Linked DNA regions of Nothobranchius furzeri. The protein of the gene in region 2 interacts with the protein of the main gene of each other region in a biochemical or structural test. Links are inferred from orthologs where the notes say so. Each region holds a gene or a part of one and is shown on either strand. Other genes may lie near its edges. The genes, in order: rgs4 and gnao1b.

Region 1 (4,451 bases), on a different chromosome or scaffold from region 2:
GCATGAAACCTTTTTATGTCGGTAACTGACATTTCGTTACTTAGTAGAAAACTTTATTTTAGCTGTACCGACTAAGGGTTAAAGGGCCAAGAACTGAAGGCTGATGCTCAGGAAAGGAAATAAATGTCTGACATAGTAAATAATGCTTCAAATATTAAAAATACCCAAAAATGGAAGACTTGGTTGAATGAATTAAGTTCAAAAATATGATTTCATATTTTCCATAAAAGCTACTAATTCTGATGCCATTCAAATCTCAAATCATTTTAAATTTTGAATCGGCTCCGACTGGAAGACAAAGGAGTCCAAAGCATTTTTAAATAACGTGATTGTTTGCTTCTGTGTTAATTCAGCTGCATTCAGAGGCTCGTCGTGGATAGAGAACGAACCAGGGCCGAGCCTCGACAGAAGTGGTATAAAACAAAACAGAGCACGCTCCAAAGTCCAGCGTGACTAAGATGATAGATTGTGGAAACAGTTCAGGTCACAGAACGGTAAACAACAGGAGATTGGAGCGATGGAGGCTGACGGACCCAGGCAGAAGGAAGAAATGACGATGCTGGAGGTCAGCGGAGGAGGTCATGGAACGCAGCGGGTCGTTCCCGCAAGGCCGTTGCTCCACGGCTTTAATCGACACACTCAAGAGATTCTCAGAGGAGTTGGAGCAGAAGCACACAGACACCAGTGACTCTGCACTGGTCAGAGCACCCTGAGGGTTCTCTCCGCTGTGCCGCGTGACACGTAGCTACAAACTGGAGCATGAGAAATTAGCTGAGGAGTGTCTGAGTGTGTTTGTGCTCAATTTGCATGTTTGTGCGCCATATCCAAGCCTCCCCCACTTCCCTCTGATAACAAAACCCCAAGTTTCCTCATCGCAGCGGGGCGAGGATGCGGCTCACTGAGAACTAACATTGTTTTAAGGGCTACACCTTCAAAATATGAACGGGAGAGCACCACTGTTGATATTATAAACTTTATTAGCTACTGTAAACATAAACAAGGTCTATCAGAGTTGAACAGCCTCCCAGGACTGCAGGATCCCAACATCACGTGAGAAGATTAATCTTTCCCACTATTATAAACCCGCAGAGACCTTCTGCATTTCTGCGAACTGATGAGTCGGTGACGTTCTAATTAAGATCAGACAAAACCCCTGCGGTCTGAGCCAGACTGAAACCTTTAGCTGAAAAAACATCTCACTTACCGTCACTGCTCATCACGTGGCTGAAAGATTCCTTCCATTTCTCCACCTCAGCTGCATCAGGAACCCTAAAGCAAACGGAAAAGATGCTTTTTTTAAACCCTCCCACTGTACCAATGGGTGTGACCCCGCCAGGAAAGTGTGCCACTGAGCAGGGTTGATGGTTTATCCCTTGGGTCCACGTGGCAGGGGTGAGGAGTGAGCCCACCACGTGGACCTCAAGGGATAAACCATCAATCCTGCTCGATGGTCAACTTTCCTCACGGGGTCACCCGTAAAGACAGTGGGAGGGTTATGTGAAAAATGTACTTTTTTGTGTAAAACCTTCACATTCTGTTGCTAATTTAAATGTTCTAATCTTTTGCAGAATGTAATTCCTGCACGAAGCGTTCTCTGATATGGAGATTTTCACATGACGGGGATTTTTTCCCTGCAAACCAACATAAAAGCAGCTAAAAACACGGTGGAAAAAGCCTGAACCCGCCTGCACCGTCTCTCTGATCGGTGTTGACATCTCTGATTACATCGGTGTGTGTCATCCGACCTTTAAAACGTTAATGAAACTTCCTTAAAGATTCCCCGACAGCCGTCACATGAAAACGCTCGTCTGTATATGCATACATGACAGCATGAGCAGGGTATCGATCAGCTGTGGCGGTGGCCGGATGAATTATACCTAATCTGAGTGTTGAAGGTCAGTGCCATCACCTTCTCATAGAGGACTGGCTTCCTGTGGGAACACGACCTGTGGGCGGATCCGAGTCCAAACAAAACCTGCTCCTCCGCAAAGATACTACCTTTAAATTTAAGTCTGCAGCCAATAATCATAATAATCAGTTGGCACAAAACAATTACACGAGTGAGAGAGACACAGAGTGCTCTTAGGCAGGAAATCATTGATTTTTCACTCAGTGGAAAGGACGTCTGAGTCCATCTAACGCAGGAAGACTCCTGATGTTCTCTTCATTTTTCTCTAAGATGGAGAAAAAAAAAGTCCGATTGGGTCAAAAATCCCATGTTTAATGATTCATCTTCACCAACGGTCCAGTTTTAAGCTTCAGCTCAGATAAATAAGTCTACAGGTGTTTCAATTTAAGGTTTTATAGAAAGCATTTACCTTGTTTTATTGTAATAACATTTAAAACCAAATAAAGAAATCAGTTTAACCCAGAATAAAATGAATCCAATGACGTCATTTAGCCCAGTGTTCAGAACCTAAAACCAACACATCCCCTTCGTGGATATTTATCCATGAAAATCTTCCAGAAAACTCCGATTTAATGACAGATCGTTTACCGCAGAGATGAAAGTGTGAATCTGAACAAAGATCAACTCAAATCAAAGATACTTTATTAATCCCAGAGGGAAATTAGAGTTTCAGTATACACCACTCAGAGATGAATGAGTGTTCTCACCTCTTTGCAGCAGCGACGCTTTTCTCCTTGATCTCTTTCTGATCGGCTGCTTGAGGCTCTGGCTTCTGCAGCAAGAAGCTTATTTTGTGCTTGATGTCCTTTGCGCTGTTGGAAAAGCAGTTTTTTACAAGCTGAAAGTTTGTTTGCAACTAAATAAATCTACTTTACGCCAATTAATTCCTAATTAACATCTTCCATTTAGGGCACGATCACCGACTAAATGTGAAAACACGATTTGTTTATTTCTCTTCTGATCACCCGTGTCCACCTGTTGCTCAGACTGCTAGAGGCTTACCTTTTCAAGCACGTCGCAGGAAGTGTAGCAAGCCCTTTGCACATGTTGGAGTCTTAAAAATCCAAAGCCGCCTCTGGTTTTTGTCAGCAAAGAGCAGCCGAGTTTTTATAGCAGCGTCCTTCAGTATCAGAAGCAGGCTGCACATATCTCCACCCCTCCCCAGCAGAGATTTACATCAGCAAAACGCAGGGGAGACCAAACCGGCCAATCACAAAAGACGGGGGAGAGAGGCAGGAAGAGAGGGGAGAGAGTGAGGGAGGATATGGGGAAACATGCAGCAGACGGGGTTGTCTTTAACCTAAACAAAAGCTGTTTTCCTCTGACTCAGGTGGTCCAGGCGTTTGAGGAACTTGTGAAGTCCACCATGTGTGGAGGACAACAGAAAGCTCTGTCATGTGGTAGCAAGTTTAATCCCAGCATCTGCACCAACATCTGGTTTTTCGTGCAGCGTTGTCGTGCGTTTTCCTCGATGGCTGAGCGAACAGCAGTGGGAGTTCTCCAGGGTTGAACTTGTCATTAGCACCTTCTCTGTGTTTGAGTTTCACACTTCCTGATTCCACGTTTGGGTGATGAGTTTTATTCAAAGGTTTGAGAAGTTTAAAAGAGCTTCCTGGTCCAGAAATCACATTTATATCAGCTGATAGCAGGGAGAGAGAAGCGGCCAGGCGCCAGAGACGGGGGAGAGGAGCGGAACCACAACAAAACGGTAAAACGTCAGTTACACAAAGACAATGGCAAATCTCACACGAATGTCACGCAAACGTTCTGGTTTCAGTTTCTGATTCTAATGGATCGCTCTGAGTTTTCCTGCAGACTTTAACATGAAAATAGTCTCCTACATCTGCCTGTTGCTTTAGCTTCTGATAGAAGACAGACGGTGAAACTCTAGGATTAGAAAATCCCGACAGATCTACGTCACACTGTCACTTAACATTCATGGACTCACCCATCTTGACTCTCGACGGGGAAGGCTGCTGTTGGTTTAGCGTCCAGGAAACAGCAGAGAACGTCCCTGCTAGTAGAAGCTAACCGTTAGCATTAGCAGCTCCACCACACAGCGGAAGTCCTCCAGGCTTGTGTTACTTGTGGAGACGAAACATCAGCGTTGCAGAGCAAACAGAGTCAGTGGTACAGTTATGCTGCTGTTAGCCAATCAGAGGAGAGATGTCCAAATCTCAGAAGACTAAACTCCAAATCCTGTCATCTGAAGCTACTTTTTCTGTCAGCTGAACTCCACATCCTCAAACAGGTGCACCGGAGCTTTTTTTCTCCCAGAGAACGACTTACCGTGCATTCCTAGAGACCACTGCAAATGTATTAAAGAAGTGTTCGGGTTAGAGGAATAGTAATGGCTGGGGTCTGAGGGAAAGTCCAACTCTAAAGCCTGATTCATGCTTCTCCGTCAGCTCCGCAAGGAACAGACACGCATGGATTGACGGAAGCGTTTTGCTCTAATACTTCTCTGTCTCCTGGGGAGTGTAGCCAAGCAATTCCCCGGCAGGACAACAGAGGGCGTAGCGCTGTTCTGTTGTATCCTGTC
Region 2 (4,521 bases):
TTTTTTTTGCTTGAATCTGACTCAGTGTAGGAGAATATTTTATTTTTGCCAACAAAAAACAAATTTGAAAATGGCTGATGTTTTATATATATATAAATATATATATATATATATATATATATATATATATATATATATATATATATATATATATATATATATGCGCTATAGGCCTACTACTGAATTTTCTGCTTTTAATAAGTATTTGCATAAATTATATTTGATTTCCATGAAAAACTGTTAAGCAGTGAAATTAATTTTTAATTTAAAAGATCATAATTTATAGTGAAGTGCTGTTATTTCGCACAAGCATCAGGTGATCAATAATCTATTTTTAGTTTCTCACCCACCTTGTGTAGAATTTGCTATTCACCTTTAAAATCTGTAAAAATAAATTCACTAATGAGTATTTTAACGCATTTAACCCGGTTAACGTGCTATATTTTTGACGTAATTAAATGTTCACCTGGTGTTCCGTGACCACCACCGGGTGTTTTTCAGACCTACTTAATGTTGTTGACATGATTAAACGTCACCCAGGTCCTGGAGAACAAGAATAAGAGCGACGGTGGCCAAGTTGGGACATTTTAATTCATTACAAGAACACACCAGTAACACCAGGCAGGAGGGTAACATTTGCCATTTAGGAGTCTTTTCCATTTAAATCTTTCACCGGACGTGATTAGAGCTTGACAGCTCTGACGTAAACCAGATTGTTAGGTGAGTCTCGCGCGGCCATCCCTGTGTGGGAAGCAAATGTATCATAGAAACGTGAACTCAAAATAGTTAATTCTTGTGTGTGCGATTAAAACTATTGTAATGATTTCTCATTTATAATGTAAGTTTGATATTTTTTTTACATTTGGACAAAGTTTTTTTAGGAAGCATTTTTGTTGAAAATTTTATTTCCTTAATGTTTCTGATGCAAAATGACCAAATTTAGCTAATTTTAGCGGTAGGAATATTTGACTTACCGTTTGTATAAAACGTGTGAATTGGAATTTTTAGCAGAAATGTTAAATAAAATGTGTTTTCGTATTGTTTTACCATGTAGCCTAGATCTGTGTATAAAAGAAAGCCCACAACACTAGTGGGAAGCGTTCAATAATTTAAGAAGGAATGACTGACATATGTCAGATTTTCACTGAGCATAAAAACGGCCTTTTTAGAAACTTGCAATGTATATTTCCGCTAAAATAATTGAACAATCGATGCCTTACATATCCATCTTATGATTAAAACTCTTTTAAGCTCGCAATATATTTTAAATTCGATACGATGCCATGTGACCGATTACACACCAACCCACCTTAAATCAGAATTTTCAAAAATGTAATTTAAATCGACCTATTTCTGAACAGGAGACATGTAAAACGTTGTTGATTATATGCGGTAACAGCCTGCCATACCACCTCCTGCCAGCCTTCGTGAAAGTATACGGTGAAATCGCTCGTGCTCTCTGTCATCATCACCAGCGCCGCCCTGTAGAGAGATAGAGCTCGAGACCCCCCCGCTCTCCCCGCCTAACAACAACCCCAACCCTGCAGGCTAGCGCACAGCGACCCCACCCCCCCACCCCCCTCTGAGAGAGGGGACGGAACGGAGAGTGCACATTCACGGAGAGAAGACTGTTTCGGGATCCCGGCTCTATTTTCCGCTCCGAATCCGGGCCTATGCTGTAGCAGACAGCGCGGGAGGAGAGCGAGACTGAGAGACACCGCGGCGACCGAGAGCAGGAGAGGGACAGGGCGGACTGGGGACTCGACGGGACCGCTCATTCGCCTGGAAACATGGGGTGTACACTGAGCGCCGAGGAGCGCGCAGCTCTGGACCGGAGCAAGGCCATCGAGAAGAACCTGAAGGAGGACGGGCTGGTCGCCGCCAAGGACGTCAAACTGCTCCTGCTCGGTAAGGGAAGCGGCGGCGCGGCCGCGGGGCTGCTGCTGGGACTGCGTGGGGCGGAGGTGCTCTCCGTGGTACTGATTTCAATGCCTGCTCTCTCTCTGCCCTCCGTTCTTTGCAGGCGGCGGAGAATCCGGGAAAAGTACCATCGTCAAACAAATGAAGTAAGTGTCAGCCTGATTTGTTTATTTATTTATATCATATCGGTATTCTCCAACTCAGCCGGAGTGAAAGGCCTGAGATTGCGCCTCCCCTGTCAGCACTAAGGCAGGTTGAGCCGCCATGTTTCCGAGAGGCCGAAGCCCCGGAGGAGCACCGGTGACTCGAGCACCTCCTGCAGACCGTCAGCAGGGCTGCGGAGGCCGCCGGTGCGTCCCAGGGTGCTGTTCACTGCCGGGGTGCTGAAATGTAGTTAACGAAGGTTTTGCTTGACTACGGGGAGTGTGCCACTGGGGACGTGTGTGTGTCTGTGTCTGTGTGTGTGTGTGTGCAGTGTGTGTGCGCGCGTGCGTGTGTGAATTACAGTGAGGTCACTGCTGTTCCATTAGTGAATACCTCTGCTTTTAATCTTAATGGCTTTAAGTGCCTGATATCGCCGGGAGTACTTTGCCTATAAAGCGGATTTACGCAGAAATATGGCTCCTAAAACCGCATCTAAACCTTTTCGTGTCTGAGCTAAATGACTCTTTGGTGTTTTAAACGACTGCTTTTGTTTCATGTAAACCTCTTAGTCAAGTTTCTAGATGTTTCTGCACAAAAAACCAGAGCTCTTTCACATTTTGTCCCGTCAACCATGCAGCAGCTCTTTTGTGAGCAGCATCTGAGTGTCTCCTCCTTCCTGCTCTGCTCTGCACTCTGCATCGACTCACTGCACCCTCCCTTTTTCCTCTTCATTACCCTCCCAGAGCTCCCTGGTTGTCCATAACTTACTGCTCTGCTCCGAACCAAGATGCTGGTCCAAATAGTGTTTACAAATACTCTCCGGGCTTGCTTTAGCCACGGGCCAGCAGCAGATGGATGGGTTTTACTACATGCTCTGGGTCATAAAGTCTAGGTATCGGAGGGTTCATGCACTGGGCTTTGCTGTGATTCTTTGCCTCATCCTCATCACCATCATCTTCACATCCAGACGAGCTTCTCTGGTTTGGCCCATGAGCGAGACGGTGGAGTCATGTCCAAACTAACAGGGACGAGTTGACTTCAAGAACAATTTAAAGGGCGTTGTAGATTTTAATAATTACTCAAGTAGGCTGCTGTAGAAACATCAGCGGTTTATTTTTTAACTACTGCTGATAAGTTATTCTTTAAAACCAATAACAACAACAATAATAATAATAATAATAATAATAATAATTATTATTATTATTAGCATTTAGTCTTTCCAAATGTTCAAGTTGATAATATTCATCTGTTTGCTCCATAAAGCTTCAGCCTCAGCTCATCCCCACCCCCCCTCCCCTGAGGGTCAATTTATTGTATTTCATAAAACTGTTAATTGTGATGATGGTGCTGGAGATTCAGGCCAGGTGGCTGTAGTCGGCTGTGAAACATCTTTTCATAATGTGCCCTGATGAGATGAAAACAATCATCCCACATCTTTTCTTTTAACCCCACCCCTCCTTGCTGTACGGCGGTGAGAATGAAGTAGCTGTGGGAGTGGGCTTCTGGAGGATGTTTTATAGATCTGGTCAGGGTGAAGATGTGCCGCTGATGGATGCTTTAATGCTGTAAGAAGTTTAACAGTCCAGAGTTGTGGAGCCGTGATTGATCAGTGGTCTGATTGATTTCAGTTCATGAATTATAAATGACTGAAATATCACATTACTGCCCGGTTACACATCGCAGAGAGAGAATATGACCATTTCCCGTTAGGCTCATGCTTAGATGAGAGAAACATGGGGAGAGGATGAGAACAAACATAATAAAATAATCACTACACACACACACACACACACACACACGCAGGCCTACTGAGTTTCATAAAAACCTGGGGCTTTTATTGTAACAAGATAGCTGTTTTGTAACGCAGGAACATATGGACATTTGCAACTTTTTTCCTGCTCGGTCCAGGCTTTGATAATATCTCCGTACGCATGCAGGATTATCCATGAAGATGGCTTTTCTGGGGATGATGTGAAGCAGTATAAGCCAGTGGTCTACAGCAACACCATCCAGAGCTTGGCAGCCATCCTCCGAGCCATGGATTCCCTCGGGATTGAGTTTGGAGACAAGGACCGGAAAGTTAGTCTCACTCATATCCTACCAAGTTTTCTAAAGATTAGCTTTGCTTTTCCTAAAGATAAAAAAACATTTTCTGGGAATATTTGACCTGTGACAGTAAAGAAATGACTGCAAATCATCCCAGAAAGTCGTTTGAGCTGCTGGTAAATAATTAACAAGCAGACATTTTTTCTTCTGCTCCTCTGAACTTATGAAACATGTTTCATCCAGGCCGATGCCAAGCTGGTCTGTGATGTCGTCAGTCGTATGGAGGACACGGAGCCGTACTCCGCAGAGCTTCTCGCTGCTATGAAGCGTTTATGGGCCGACGCCGGGACTCAGGAGTGCTTCAACCGTGCCCGAGAATACCAGCTTAATGACTCTGCTCAATAGTGAGTA

What was found.
Region 1: the proteins of gnao1b (region 2) and rgs4 form a complex in vitro, tested with the Homo sapiens proteins (2 studies listed by BioGRID). The link is inferred for Nothobranchius furzeri from reciprocal best matches to the Homo sapiens genes GNAO1 and RGS4.

What each region holds. Positions count from the first base shown.
Region 1 is NC_091748.1:75,874,594-75,879,044, forward strand, and holds the start of rgs4 (regulator of G-protein signaling 4), read right to left. Parts: upstream 3,070-4,451; 5' UTR 2,956-3,069; coding exon 2,912-2,955; intron 2,722-2,911; coding exon 2,617-2,721; intron 1,270-2,616; coding exon 1,205-1,269; intron 1-1,204. UniProt on the Homo sapiens protein: Inhibits signal transduction by increasing the GTPase activity of G protein alpha subunits thereby driving them into their inactive GDP-bound form. Activity on G(z)-alpha is inhibited by phosphorylation of the G-protein.
Region 2 is NC_091749.1:60,165,537-60,170,057, forward strand, and holds the start of gnao1b (guanine nucleotide binding protein (G protein), alpha activating activity polypeptide O, b), read left to right. Parts: upstream 1-1,640; 5' UTR 1,641-1,790; coding exon 1,791-1,908; intron 1,909-2,023; coding exon 2,024-2,066; intron 2,067-4,001; coding exon 4,002-4,143; intron 4,144-4,353; coding exon 4,354-4,514; intron 4,515-4,521. UniProt on the Homo sapiens protein: Guanine nucleotide-binding proteins (G proteins) function as transducers downstream of G protein-coupled receptors (GPCRs) in numerous signaling cascades.